Anolis sagrei: one gene and its partner. The protein of the gene in region 1 interacts with the protein of each later gene in a pairwise test. Links are inferred from orthologs where the notes say so. Each region holds a gene or a part of one and is shown on either strand. Other genes may lie near its edges.

Region 1 (7,714 bases):
GGTTGTGTTATGGGCATGGGAATTTTGGTTAAGTTTCGTTGAGTTTTTTTTGGGTTTTGTTGTTTTGCCGTTTTGTGAGTGTGTTGTTGTGTTGTTTTTCATTTTGAGTAGATATGTTTGTACCTTGTGGGTTGTGTTATGGGCATGGGAATTTTGGTTAAGTTTTGTTGGGGGTTTTTAGAGTTTTGCTGTCCCGTTGAACCAACCTAACAGATTTATATATATAGATTTGTGTGTTTTTAACTGTGCTGTGACCTCCCCAAGCTGTGGGGAGTGGCGGGCAAGAATTATTATTATTAGAAACACAACAAGATGAGTCCACAGCAGACAAGATCACTCTGCTGGCTGTTGTATTGGATCACATCGGACACTTCCCAAGTGTCTAGGACTCTGTCCTGTATCGGCCAATAATTCATGCAGATCCCAGTAAGGTGGCCTTTTGCTGCTGGCAGGTCGTAATTTTGTCGGCGCTGATTGTGTTTAAGTGCAGGCCAAGGTCCTTAGGCACTGCACCCAGTGTGCCCATCACCACTGGGACCACATTTACTGGTTTGTGCCAGAGTCTTTGTAGTTCTACTACTACTACTACTACTACTACTACTACTATTACTATTATTATTATTATTATTATTATTATTATTATTATGTCTGTTTTAACTCCGGGTTGTTGTAGGTTTTTCGGGCTATATGGCTATGTTCTAGAGGCATTTTCTCCTGACGTTTTGCCTGCATCTATGGCAAGCATCCTCAGAGGTAGTGAGGTCTGTTGGAAATAGGAAAACTCCACTGAAAGGATTTACTCAAAAGGGAGAAGAGGATTGTTAGTGAGGCTTGCTGCAACTTGTGCTGCTGCTATACACAATTTTAAAAGGGACATGAGCCTGCACATTCTTTAGCATCTTTGGGGAATCCTGGAATGAACGCCCTGTGGATTCCGAAGGCACACGGCATTGGAATCTGGTCCCAACCACCGACCTGCTCCTTGGTCTCCTCCAGAGACATGCGCTCCTCCATCTCTTTCTTCTTCCGCCTCTCCTGCTCCTCTTTCATCTTCTGCTCCATCATTTTGTCTACTTCTTCTTCCTCTGCAGGACAGAAAGAGAGGTCCACAGATAATTGATTTCCTGGAACAATACAGGGACAATGTCGAGTGCAAAACTTTAATTTGGTGCTAGTCGGAAGGGTCAACCTCAACTCAGAGGAAGGTGGTTGCTGTGTGCCTCAAGGTGATTCTGAGGGTCTTATTTGCAAGATTTATCCTGAAGGGTTTTCCTGTTGCCTTCCTTTAAGGCTTAGAGAGGCACTTTCCCAAGGCCACTCAGGGGCTTTTTATGGCCGAGCGAGGGTTCATTTGATCCCTGGTCTTCCAGAGTTCTAGTCCAGTACTTAAACTCTTACATCAGTGGTTCCCAACCTTTTTTTTTTTACTGAGGGTTGGACTGGATGGCCTTTGGGTGTCCCTTATAACACCATAATTCTATCTATCTATCTACCTACCTATCTATCTACCTATCTATCTGTGGGTTGGATTGGATGGCCTTTAAGTGTCCCTTCCAATGCCTTTCTACCTATTTATGTATCTATCTGAAAGTTGGGCAAGATGTCCCTTGGATATCCCTTCTAACGCCATTAAGCAATGAATCGATGTATCTATCATCTATTGGGGTTGGGTGGCCTCTGAGTGTCCCTTGTAAGTGTATGATTCATTCATTCATTCATTCATTCACTCTTTCTTTCATTCTTTCTTTCTTTCTATGCATCTATCTATCTATGCATCTATCTGAGGATTGAACTGGATAGCCTTTGGGTGTCCCTTCTAACACCATAATTCTATCTATCTATCTATCTATCTATCTGTGGGTTAGACTGGATGGCCTTTAAGTCTCCCTTCCAATGCCATGAATTTATTTTTCTATCTATCTATCTGAGAGTTGGACTGAATGTCTTTTGGGTGTCCCTTCTAACACCATGATTCTATCTATCCATCTGTCTATCTATGGATTGAACTGGATGGCTTTTCGGGTCCCTTCTAACTTCATGAATCTATCTATCTATCTATCTGAACGTTGGACTCCAATGTCCCTTGGATATCCCTTCTAACGCCATGAAGCGATGAATCAATGTATCTATCATCTATCTATTGGGGTTGGGTGGCCTCTGGGTGTCCCTTCTAAGTGCATCTATCTCTCTATCTATTTATCTGTCTGTGGGTTGGACTGGATGGCCTTTGGGTGTCCCTTCCAATATCATGGATTTATTTTTCTAGCTCTCTATCTATCTGAGAGTAGGACTGGATGTCTTTTGGGTGTCCCGTCTAACACCATGATTCAATCTATCTATCTATCTATCTATCTATCTATCTATCTATCTATCTATCTATCTATGGATTGAACTGGATGGCTTTTCGGGTCCCTTCTAACTTCATGAATCTATCTATCTATCTATCTATCTATCTATCTATCTGGGGGTTGGACTGGATGTCCCTTGGATATCCCTTCTAACGCCATGAAGAGATGAATCAATGTATCTATCATCTATCTATTGGGGTTGGGTGGCCTCTGGGTGTCCCTTCTAAGTGCATCTCTATCTATCTATCTATCTATCTATCTATCTATCTATCTATCTGTGGGTTGGACTAGATGGCCTTTGGGTGTCCCTTCTAACTCCATAATTCTATCTATCTATCTATCTATCTATCTATCTATCTATCTATCTATCTATCTATCTATCTATCTATCTATCTATCTATTTCTCTCTCTATCTATCTGTGGGTTGGACTGGATGGCCTTTAAGTGTCCCTTCCAATGCCATGAATCTATCTATCTATCTATCTATCTGAGGGTTGGCCTGGATGTCCCTGGGATGTCCCCTCTAGCGCCATGAAGGAGTGTATCTAGCCTAGCTGCCCCTCTCCCCGGGTCTCACCCTGCCGCTTCCTCTCCCGCTCCACCATCACGTGCCGGTGCAAGGCCCGCGCCATGGCCGAGCTCAGCTTCGGCCGCTCCAGCAGCGCCGGCATGGCGAAGGCCGGGGAAGAGAAGACCCGAAGGCCCAACGAGGAAAAAAAGAAAGAAAAGCGCTCTCCTCCTTCTCCTCAGACCCGCCCGCTTCCGCTATTACTACGGCTACTTCCGGTTCCGGCCCGCGGTGCCACGCTGACAGCCGCCCCTCCCGCAACACGGAGCAAAGGACTTCCGTTCCATTTCGTCCCCTGCCAACTCAGACACAGCAGCTGCATCCGGGGACTTGAAGTCTTAGAAGAGTGGGTTTCTGGGAGAAGCTGCTATTGTTGTGGCTCAAACGAGCTCATATTGTCATTCCAATATGTTTATTCATATGTTTATACACACACACACACACACACATATACACACACACAAATCATAGAATCACAGAATCAAAGAGTTGGAAGAGACCTCCTGGGCCATCCAGTCCAACCCCATTCTGCCAAGCAGGAATATTGCATTCAAATCACCCCTGACAGATGGCCATCCAGCCCCAGGAATATTGCATTCAAATCACCCCTGACAGATGGCCATCCAGCCCCAGGAATATTGCATTCAAATCACCCCTGACAGATGGCCATCCAGCCCCAGGAATATTGCATTCAAATCACCCCTGACAAATGGCCATCCAACCCCAGGAATATTGCATTCAAATCACCCCTGACAGATGGCCATCCAGCCCCAGGAATATTGCATTCAAATCACCCCTGACAGATGGCCATCCAACCCCAGGAATATTGCATTCAAATCACCCCTGACAGATGGCCATCCAGCCCCAGGAATATTGCATTCAAATCACCCCTGACAGATGGCCGTCCAGCCCCAGGAATATTGCATTCAAATCACCCCTGACAGATGGCCATCCAACCCCAGGAATATTGCATTCAAATCACCCCTGACAGATGGCCACCCAACCCCAGGAATATTGCATTCAAATCACCCCTGACAGATGGCCATCCAGCCCCAGGAATATTGCATTCAAATCACCCCTGACAGATGGCCATCCAGCCCCAGGAATATTGCATTCAAATCACCCCTGACAGATGGCCATCCAGCCCCTGTTTAAAAGCTTCCAAAGAAGGAGCCTCCACCACACTCCAGGGCAGAGAGTTCCACTGCTGAACAGCTCTCACAGACAGGAAGTTCTTCCTCATGTTCAGATGGAATCTCCTCTCCTCTAAATAATATATAACTAATAACATATGGAATATATTATATATATGCGTTTGAATATATAAATAATAATATATGGAAAATATATATTATATAAATATATACACATATGAATAAATAGTATATAAATAATAATATATGGAATATTATATATATATGCATATTAATAAATAATATATAAATAATATATGGAATGATATGTAGTATATTATATATGAATAACAATATAGTATGAATAATATGTAACAATATAATATTAATATATATACCAAAAAAGGGAAATGCGAAAGACTGCGCCAACTTCCGTACAGTAGCTCTTGTTTCTCATGCCAGGAAGGGAATGCTCAAGATCCTGCAAGGAAGACTCCAGCAATACATGGAGCGAGAGTTGCCAGATGTTCAAGCTGGGTTTAGAAAAGGAAGAGGAACGAGAGACCAGATTGCCAATATCCGCTGGAGAATGGAGAAAGGCAGGGAGTTTCAGAAAAACATCTATTTCTGCTTCATTGACTACTCTAAAGCCTTTGACTGTGTGGATCATAATAAATGGTGGCAAGTTCTTGGTGGGATGGGCATCCCAAGCCCCCTTGTCTCTCTCCTGAGGAATCTGGACAAGGACCAAGTAGCCACAGTCAGAACTGACCACGGAACAGGAGACGGGTTCCAGATTGGGAAAGGCGTACGGCAAGGTTGCATCCTCTCACCCAACCTTTTTAACTTGTATGCAGAACACATCATGCGAGGATGTGCGGGGCTTGAGGAATGCAAAGCTGGGGTGAAAATGGCTGGAAGAAACATTAACAACCTCAGATATGCAGATGACACCACTCTGATGGCCGAAAGCGAGGAGGAGCTGAGGAGCCTTCTAATCAAGGTGGAAGAAGAAAGCGCAAAAGCCGGGTTGCAGCTCAACATCAAAAAAATGCGAGTTGCTTACGTGTAACTGCGTTTCCACGTGTGATAGTCTGTGAAATTCGCACATAATGGGTTTTGTTCTGCGCATGCGCAGCCGTTCGGAACCTTCTAGAATTTTCAAATAGAAACTTTTAATTGGCGGACGCCCCGCCCAAACTCCCCATACTATAAATGCCCAAGGCGGGAAACCTCGACTCAGTTCCGCAGCCGCTATCAGCAGCTATAGAACAAGCATGACTACTGCGGAGAGGTCGGGCGGGGATGTGCGAATTTCACAGACTATCACTCGGGAAACGCAGTTACAGGTAAGCAACTCGCATTTCCCCTTCGTGTAGTCTGTGAAAAACGCACATAATGGGTGAATAGCAAGCTACCAACCTTCGGAGGTGGGAGTCATGCGACACTGGAAAACAGCACCGCTCTGCCGAAGGCTGCATCCTTCCTTGCCATCGCATCTAGCCTGTAGTGGGAGGCGAATGTTGACGAATTGGACCATGTCGCTGCTTTGCAGATGTCGTCAATTGGAATACCCCTCAGGAAAGCTTGCGAGGTTGACACCGCCCTAGTGGAGTGGGCGTGGATCTGCTGAGGGGGCTCTTTCTTTGCCAGCAGGTAAGCAAGTCTGATGGTCGAGACGATCCACGAAGCGAGGCGCTGGGAGGAGACAGGTAGCCCTAGAGAGTCCTGGCGGTATTTCAGAAAAAGCTTGACTGACTTCCTGTGGGGGGCGGTTCTGCTAGTGTAGAACGCTAGAGCCCGTCTGACATCTAGAGAATGCAGGGAAACCTCCAGAGGAGAAGAAGGATTCTGGAAGAAGGCCAATAGAGAAATGTCCTGTGACAGGTGAAACTTAGAAACAACCTTTGGTAAGAAGGCGACGTCTGGTCGGAGGACCACCTTCTCTTTGTGGAATCGTAGGTAGGGTGCGTCAACTCTCAAAGCACAGATTTCACTCACTCTCCTGGCCGATATAATGGCCACGAGAAAGGCCGTCTTCCATGAGAGATGCGACAGGTCGCATGTGGCCAGTGGCTCAAAGGGTGGTTTGGAGAGCTGTGACAGCACCAGTTCTAGACTCCACGCTGGGGGAGGAGGCATGACAGGTGGGTGTAAGTTGGAGTACCCCTTAAGGAAGAGCCGTATCGTGGGGTCATGGAAGCACGATGGTCTCCCTGTCTGTCTCCAGTACCATGATAGTGACGCCAGGTAGCATTTGATGGAAGACAAGGAGAGCCCTTTGTTGGACAGATGCACTAGAAAGTCCAGTATGACCCCCATCGGGGCTTCCCGGGGGTTAACATTCAGAGGCTTGAGGTATTCCCGGAAGCGTGACCATTTGTATGCATATGCTTTCTTGGTCGTGGCTTTTTGGGCCGCTGCGATTATGTCCTGCACTGCCTCCGAGAGAGGGGCTGGACCCGGATTCTCCACGCTGTGAGGCGCAGGGAGACCAGGTCTGGGTGATACACCCGGCCCTCCTGGATGGAGAGGAGGTCCGGTCTGTCTCGTAGATGGAGGTATTCGCCTCTCGAAGCTTTGAGGAGGGGAGCGAACCAGTGCTGGCGCGGCCACCAGGGGGCGACCAGTATCGCATCCGCGTTGTCCTCGATCAATTTGGTCAGCACCCTGGGAATCAGCGGGATTGGGGGGAAGGCGTATAGTAGGCCCGGTGACCAGCTGAATATGAATGCGTCCCCCATGCACCCTTGGGTCGATCCGGGGTGACGTCTGGCACAAAACGTGTCGCACTGTGCGTTCACTGGCGACGCAAACAGATCCAGGGTTGGTTGGCCCCAATGGCGGGACAGGAACCGGAACTCGTCTCGATGGAGTTGCCACTCGTGATTTGATGTCTGTGCTCGACTGAGGGCATCGGCGAGAGTATTGTCTTCGCCCGGGAGGTGCACTGCCGTGAGATGTATCCTTCGTGGGATGCACCATTCCCATATTGCTGTGGATAAGCCGAGGAGGTCGGAGGAGCGCATCCCGCCTTGCTTGTTTATGTAACATTTTACAGTTGTATTGTCCGTGAGAAGTTGTACAGCGCGCCCGGTGATATGGGGCTCGAAAGCACGCAGGGCCTTCTGGACGGCTAGGAGCTCGAGGTAATTTATGTGGTAGGCAGCCTCCTCGTGAGACCATCTGTCGTGCACTGTCAGATTCTGGAAGTGAGCCCCCCATCCTTGCGTGGACGCATCCGTTGTGAGGCAGCGGGATGGGCGCGGTTGTCTGAAAGCCATGCCTGCAAGGACGTGCTCCTCCGTTGTCCACCACCTGAGGGACTCCAGGACCTGGTGTGGGGGGTACAGACGGATGTTCTGGCTGTCGCGTTGGGGCTTGAACGCTCTGACGAACCAATGCTGCAGCGGGCACATCCGTAGCCTCGCGAACCTGATGACCGACGTTGTCGAGGCCATGTGCCCGAGCAGGGATTGGAAGGCCCATGCAGTGGCTCCCCCTTGTGCGCGGATGTCGTTTATCGCCAATTTGATGGCCTGGAAGCAGTCCTCTGGTAGGAAGGCCTTTTCTGCGATGGAGTCTATGATAGCACCGATGAATTGGATGCATCTTGAAGGAGTCAAGTTGGATTTTTCGAAATTGACGATGAGGCCGAGGCTCTG
Region 2 (7,863 bases), on another chromosome or scaffold:
TGACTGATGACTTTTCAGTGTAAGTATTGAAGTGGCTGAGAGAATACGCTGAAAATCAAGATAGGGTTGATGGCGTAAAACAGTTTTCTCGGCCTGGGTCCTAAATTTTCATTCTCAAGGGTCTTTCTGATGGGTGTTGTCCAACAACTTTGGAGGGTAGTTCATCATCATCATCGTGTCCAAGTAGGATAGCCTTCCAAACAGGGTCTTGGCTGTGGGTCCGTAGGTGAGTGTGGAGACCTATTCTTGGCCCACATATTCTTCCACATTGAGAACATCAGTTTTGAGGGGGAAGGCAGTCCTGGTCAGGGTTGGCTTGACATGCCTTCCTCTTGATGCGTTTCATCCTTTCACTCTCCATTCGTGCCTCTTCGAATTCGACAGTACTATTGGTAACAGCTGACCTTCAGTTAGAATGCTCAAGGGCCAGGGCTTCCCAATTCTTGGTGTCTATGCCACAGTTTTTAAGGCTTTAAGCCCATCTTTAAATCTCTTTTCCTGTCCACCAACTTTCCATTTTCCATTCTTCAGTTGGGAGTAGAGTAACTGCTTTGGGAGATGGTGGGCGGTCATTCGGATAATATGACCAGTCCAACGGAGTTGATGGCAAAGTATCATTGCTTCAGTGCCGGTGGTATTTGCTTCTTTCAGCATGCTGACATTTTCTGCTTGTCTTCCTAAGAAATTTGACGGATTTTTCAGAGGCAATGCTTATGGAATCGTTCCAGGAGTTGAGCGTGACGTCTGTAAATGGTCCACATTTCGCAGCTAAATAACAGGGTTGGGAGGACAATGGCTTTATAAACAAGCACCATGGTCTTGAGGGGTAGTTAGGGATGACTAACAAAGAACTTTCATAACCACTTCAACTTCTTGGGAGCAAGAATGTGTGTGGATCTGGGTCTCAATGGAAAGGGAAAGTTGTCTTTTCAGCTGAGACTGACACATCGCACCAAAGAATAGTTATCGAGTAGACGGAGGCAAGTGTGCATAGGACTGCAGCTTTAGAGGACATTTTGCTCTTGGCATTTTTGATACAGAAATGCTGAAGTATCTGGTGTATTTCCACTGCAGCTGTTACTGTCCTTCTCTATTTGTTTGAAGGTCGAAAGAAACAAAAATGACAGGGACAACCTATGGGGACATCTTAGCTGTTGTTAGCTGCTGTCAGCTTAACTTATGGCAACCCCATCCTCAACAGTCCTGCTTAAGTCTTGCAGACTCAGGACACCAGTGGAATCCTAGTCTTTCCATTTTGAATATGGTATTCCCCCTTTCCTACTGCCTTACCTTACCAAGCATTACAGGTTGAGCATCCTTTGTCTGGAATTTCAAAATCCAAAATACTCCAAAATCTAAAATGGTCCACTGGTATGTTGATGGTTCAACATACACAAACTGTGCTTCATGCATAAAGTTATTATGAATATTGTATATAAAAATTTTATGTATATAACCACCTCATCAGAGGGAGTGATTTTAGCGTCCTAGTCCACCCTGTCTGGAGGACTGATGGGCTCGTTGCCCATCAGAGGCACAAGGGAGCTTCCTGTGGAAGCCCCTCCTCCAACTGGAGGGAAAGCATCACCAGATGCTTCCCTCTTAATATGGGATGCTTCACCAGGACTTTATGATGTCATATGATACTTAAGAAAAATAATTTCATGATTAGACAAGGTATCACATCATATACATACAGATATTCCAAAATATGAAACATTTCTAAGCCAGAGAATTTTTGGATAAGGGAGAGTATTGTTTTTTCTAGTGAGTCATGTCTTCTCATGATATGGCCAAACTATGATGGTCTTAATATAGTCATTTTGGGGAGATTTGCTTTAGGGGCCATTTTTCTTCTTAGTAGTCCACAACATCTGTAGAACTCTTCTCTATTGCCCTGTGGCCAATTGATTGCTTTCCTTCCTATCAGCTTTCTTTACTCTCCGGCATTCACAACTACAGGCAGTCCCTAAGTTACGAACACGACAGGTTCTGTAGGTTTGTTCTTAAGTTCAGCAGCTCAGCGGTTTAAGCTGCTGCACCACTGGGGGCTATATATATATATATATATATATATATATATATATATATAAACATTTCTTGGAGCTCCATGATAAACGTTTCTTGCAAGTTTGAGAACTCCTGCATGTTTACAATTTTCTGTAGGGTTGCATCCACAGTGTTGCCTGTGGCTGAAGGTTGGGCACGCCTGCTGTAGAATGGATGCAGCTTGAGACAACCTGGGCTCCATGCTCTGGCATCCTGGGAGGTGCCGTTTCACCTTCTCTGCCAGAGAGCTTGTGTGCCTCGCCCAAACTACAACCCCCAGGATTCCCTAGCAGTTTTAGGGATGTCGAGCTGCATCCATTCTCCAGTGTAGAAGAACAAGGTGGGTGCCTTGGATGGCTGGCTGCCTTGGGGACTTCCACACAGCCCTATATCCCTGAATATCAAGGCAGAAAACCCCATATTATCTCAGTGTGGATTCAGAGAACTCAGGGCCCTACATCTCAAAGCCAAAAAGGGTGAGGCTCCTTCCACAGAGCTGAATAAAATCCCACATTTTCTGCTTTGAACTGGAATGTATGGCAGTGTAGACTCAGATAACCCAGTTCAGAGCAGATATTGTATGGTTTTCTGCGTTGATAGGTAAAGGTAAAGGTTTTCTCCTGACATTAAGTCCAGTCGTGTCTAACTCTGGGGTAGGTGCTCATCTCCATTTCTCAGCTGAAGAGCAGGCGTTATCCGTATACACCTCCAAGGCCATGTGTCTGGCATGACTGCATGGAGCACCGTTACCTTCTAGTAACCTATTGATCTACTATTGATCTACTCACATTTTCATGTTTTCAAGCTGCTAGGTTGGCAGAAGCTGGGGCTAACAGCGGGAGCTCACGCTGCTCTCCGGATTTGAACCTGCGACCTTTCGGTAGGCAAATTCAGCAGCCCAGCGGTTTAACCCACCATGCCACTGGGGGCTCCCTTGATATTCTGGTTTACATGGCTATGTGAAAGGGCCCCAGTTCAAAGAAGATATTGTGGGATTTTCTGCCTTGATATTCTGGGATATAACGCTGTGTGGAAGGGCCCTTCTTCCACACAGGGAGCCCTTGTGGCGCACCCGGTGGCACAATGGGTTAAACCCTTGTGCCGGCAGGGCTGAAGGTGATAGTATGATAGCTGGGACCGGAAGCTCCGAGCATTATGCACATTCTGAAATGGCAGTTGTGAATAAGGAAATAAGAGCAGCACACTGAGGGCAGGAACGTAATTTGTAGTTGCATTTGGTGGAAAGATAGACAGGAAGGGAGGGTTAGGATAAGGTTTAGGTTGAGGATTAGGGGTTAGGGTAAGGTTTAGGGATAGGGTTAGGGTATGGGTTTAGATTTTACTATTACAGAACTCTTACATTACTTCAATAATATCTGTTAATAATAATGTGACTGGCCTGTCTTACAGTACCTCAGTGCATTCCGTTTTGTGTTGCGCAAACAGCACTCCCAAAGGAGCAAAGCGGTAACAGCATAACGCTTGGAGCTTCCGGACCCAGCAATCATACTATTACCTAACATGACCAAAACCGGGCTGAAGACTGACAGGTCGCAGGTTCGAATCAGGGGCGAGTGCGGATGAGCTCTCTCTGTCAGCTCCAGCTTCCCATATAGGGACATGAGAGAAACCTCCCACAAGGATGGTAAAATATCAAAACATCTGGGCGTCCCCTGGGCAATGTCCTTGCAGGCGGCCAATTTTCTCACACCAGAAGCAACTCGCAGTTTCTCAAGTCGCTCCTGACACTGGAGAGAGAAAAAAAAGGGGGGGGGGAGCCCTTCCACACAGCCCTATATCCTAGAATATCAAGGCTGAAAATCCCACAATATCTGAATGTGGATTTAGGTAACTCAGGGCCCTTCTACCCTCTATCCCAGAACAGGGGTCCTCAAACTAAGGCCCGCGGGCCAGATTCGGCCCTCTAAGGTCATTTACCCGGCAATCGCTCAGGGTCTGAAATGATTTGAAAGCACACAACAGCAACAACAATCCTATCTCATCAGCCAAAATCAGGCCCATAGTTCCCATTGAAATGCTAACAAGTTTATATTTGTTAAAAAAAATTCTTCATTGTAATTATTGTATTGTTTTAAAGTGGGTTTTTTTTTTTACTACAAGTAAGATATATGCATAGGAATTCTTTCATTTTTTCCAAATTATAACCTGGCCCTCCAACAGTTTGAGGCACTGTGACCTGGCCCTTTGTTCAAATAGTTTGAGGACCCCTGTCCCAGCATATCAGAAAATCTCACAATATCTGAGTGTGGATTCAGATAACTCAGTGCCCTTCCACACAGCCCTAGATCCCAGAATATCAAGGCAAAAAATCCCACATTATCTGCTTTGAACTGGGTTGCCTGAGTCCACACTCAGATATTATGGGATTTTCTGCCTTGATATTCTGAGATAGAGGGCTGTGTGGAAGGGCCCAGAGTTATCTGAATCCACACTCAGATATGGTGAGATTTTCTGCCTTGATATTCTGGGATAGAGGGCTGTGTGGAAGGGCCCTTGTTGTCTTTCAGGGTGGTGCTTGGGGCCAGCAGATGCGGCTCCCCAAAGGAGGCGAGAAGGAGGGAAGGGCGCGCGAGCAGCTCCAAAGTGGCAGCGCGCGCCCTTGGGAGTGAGGCGCGCGCCCGCCGGCTTGCCTCCCTTGGCCCATGCTGAGCCCGTGATTGGGCGGTCCGGGCCACGGGAAGCCCCGCCCCTTTCGCCCAGACCGGACCAGCGGGGACTTGGCGAGGCAGGCGCAGCAGAAGCAGCGGCGCTTTTGTCCAGAGGCCGCGAGGGGCGAAAAGAAGAAGAAGGAGGGAGAGAAAAAGGCAGGAAGGAGAGGAACGAGGCGGCGGCGCCTCCCTCCCTCTTTCTTTCTTTCTTTCCTTCCCTCCTTCCTCTGTGTCCCGCCTTCCTTCCCCGTTGCTCCATTGCTGCCACAAGGCTCTGGGCCGGACCCAGCTCGCCCTCCTTCCCTGTCGCCGGCCTTGGGGCCTCCAGGTGAGTCTCTCCCCCTTCTCTCTCTCTCTCAGGATGAAGGAGAAGCCGCAGAAGAAGGCCCAGCCTCGAGGCCTGGGAGGGAGGGAGGCAGGCAGGCAGGGAGGGCTTTTGTTTCCCCCTCCTCCTCCTCCTTGCAGAGGGATTGCTGCACCCCGGGGAGAGTGGGGAGGAGGAGGAGGAGGAGGACTGCAGGAAGCCCACCTTTCTCAGCCATTTTTATGAGAAGGACATGCTTGCCCTTGACTCATTCTCCTGCTCCTTCTGCCACCCCTCTCTTGGTACAAACCGCAGCAACAGGTTGCTGGCAACTTGTGGTTTTTTCTGTTCTTTTGGGGGGTGTTTATTTATAAATGCATGATGGTATTGTATTAAACAGGGACGAGTAAACGCCCCCTTGCTTCTTTGATGCTGCTGCTTCCTTCTGCTCCAGGTTTCCCTCCTCCTTGTCCCTCCTCTTTTCCTTCCCTTTGTGCTGTCACTTCCCAGCTTTCACTGTAAAAGGGGTGATTTGAGTTAAAGGCCCCAATCTTTCTCCCCCACTTTTTTTTTTTGCAAAGGATTTTTTTTTCCTCATCTTGACTTTTTATTAAAAATTGCTTATTGCTGCTAAGGCTCTAAGGCCCCTTCCACACAGCTGAATAAAACCCCACATGTTCTGCTTTGAACTGGACTATATGGCAGTGTGGACACACGGCCCTTCCACACAGCCATAGAACCCAGAATATCAAGGCAGAAAAACCCACAAGATCTGCTTTGAACTGCGTTATCTGAATCCACCCTGTCATATATCCCAGTTCAAAACAGATAATGTAGGGTTTTATTTAGGTGTGTGGAAGGGGCCTAAGATAACACAGTTAAAACCTGATATTGTGGAATTTTCTGCCTTGATATTCTGGGTTCTATGGCTGTGTGGAAGGGCCCTACATCTCAAAGCCAAAAAGGGTTAGGCCCTTTCCGCACAGCTGAAGAAAATCCCACCATATTTCCTTTGTACTGGGATATATGGCAGTGTGGACTCAGATATCCCAGTTCAAAGCAGATATTGTGGGATTTTCTGCCTTAATATTCTGGGTTGAAAGGACCCTCAGTCATTCCTTGACAATTTCAAGGAAAATTGGGGAAAAAAGAAAAAGTTGTTTTTCCCGGCAGAGAAGATCCTATCCATGACTAGAGATGCTTTTTTTGAATGAATCCTTCCTTCAGGCTTGTTACTGCTTGTAAAAATATAACCTGGGGCTACTATTCTTGTGACTTAAGGTGTAGTCAAGGCTACACCTTTCCACACAGCCATATAACCCAGGGCCCTTCTACACAGCCCTATATCCCAGAATATCAAGGCAGAAAATCCCACAAAATCCAAGTGTGGACTTAGATAACCTAGTTCTAAGCAGACATTGTGGGATTTTCTGCCTTGATATTCTGGGATATAGAGTGTGTGGAAGGGCCCTTCCTGATAGGCCCTGTATCGCAGGATCTGATCCCAAGTTTTCTGTTTATCCCAAGTTATCTCTCAGTGTAGACTCATATAGGACCCTTCCACACAGCCCTCTCCTTTATTCCCCTTTTAATTTGGAATTACTTCCAAATCAGGTGAAATTTGTGTCACCCTTGTTAATTACTATTGTCCTGCCTCTATTCTGACAAGGCAATCCAATTGATCCTTACAGTCATTTCCTGAAGCAGAATAAAAATGGTGGCTCTGCAGATATTATTTCAGATCATCTCTAGGGAAGCCAGTCAGCATAGATTTCCTTTTCCTCTTCTATGCCCTGTAATGCTTGTTAAGGTGAAACCAGGATTATATGCTTTCCCAAGGATAGCTGTCCTGTTTATCCATTAAGCAGCCTGGCCAAGTTTTAATTTTACAGTGACCTAGAGTTTCTATTTTGCCTTCTTTGAAACCGATTCATGGTAAGAGGAAAGAAAGGAGGCTGTAAGCAGGAACAGAACAAATGTCAAAGGCCTCATTCTAATGGCGTATTGGATGTCATTCTTGTCTCCTCCTTTCCTTCACCATCACTGCATTTGCAATGCATACACATGAGTATTGATTGTGGATATTTGAAACAAAGAAAACATATGTTGCTGTTCCTTTCTGCCTGTGGAGCTAGGCCCCAATATCTAATTACAAACAAGATAGGTTCTGTAGGTTTGTTCTTAAGTTGAATTTGTATGTAAGTCAGAACAGGTACATTTTAAAGTGTAACTCCAGTGCGCACGCTCTCTCTCTCTCTATGTGTGTGTGTGTGTGTCTATATATATATATGTGAGAGGGTGGGTCAAAAAGTTTTGCTTCCTGTATCATAAAAACGTTATGAATGAACCTATAACAGCAGAAGTCGCTACAGATCATAGCCTGAACTGTCCTCTACACAACACTACTGTTCAACATAGGTGCCACCATCAATTTGTACACATTTGTACCACCGTTTAACCAAGGCATCAAAACCATTTTGGAAAAATTCAGGATTTTGCTTCATGACCCATGATTTTATATCTGTTTTTTAACATTGTTCAAGTCATTGAATCTGAAACCACGTGGGTTGTCTTTCAGAGATCCAAACAGGTAAAAGAAGGGGGCAAATCATCAACATTCTTCAAGCGATGCTGGATTTTCTTAGGTGCACAACTTTCTTTTGCCAGATATTCAATGACAACTCTTTCTTTCAGCTTCAGATTAATGGTTCTAATCAGTTAATCCGAAAAAGAAAAGAGTATTATCAGGAGAATAAGGTTACTACCTCTATCATATCATGCATAGATAGTCCAGTAACTCTGTAAGAAATAAACGTTAGAGCGATGGAGGCATTACTTTTT

Evidence for each region.
Region 2: the proteins of GPS2 (region 1) and SESTD1 interact in binary tests that used the Homo sapiens proteins (3 or more experiments, as listed by UniProt). The two-hybrid records come from large-scale screens. The link is inferred for Anolis sagrei from reciprocal best matches to the Homo sapiens genes GPS2 and SESTD1.

The regions. Positions count from the first base shown.
Region 1 is NC_090026.1:4,565,779-4,573,492, reverse strand, and holds the start of GPS2 (G protein pathway suppressor 2), read right to left. Parts: upstream 3,116-7,714; 5' UTR 3,020-3,115; coding exon 2,926-3,019; intron 1,086-2,925; coding exon 976-1,085; intron 1-975. UniProt on the Homo sapiens protein: Key regulator of inflammation, lipid metabolism and mitochondrion homeostasis that acts by inhibiting the activity of the ubiquitin-conjugating enzyme UBE2N/Ubc13, thereby inhibiting 'Lys-63'-linked ubiquitination.
Region 2 is NC_090021.1:189,122,014-189,129,876, forward strand, and holds the start of SESTD1 (SEC14 domain and spectrin repeat-containing protein 1), read left to right. Parts: upstream 1-4,746; 5' UTR 4,747-5,046; intron 5,047-7,863. UniProt on the Homo sapiens protein: May act as the primary docking protein directing membrane turnover and assembly of the transient receptor potential channels TRPC4 and TRPC5.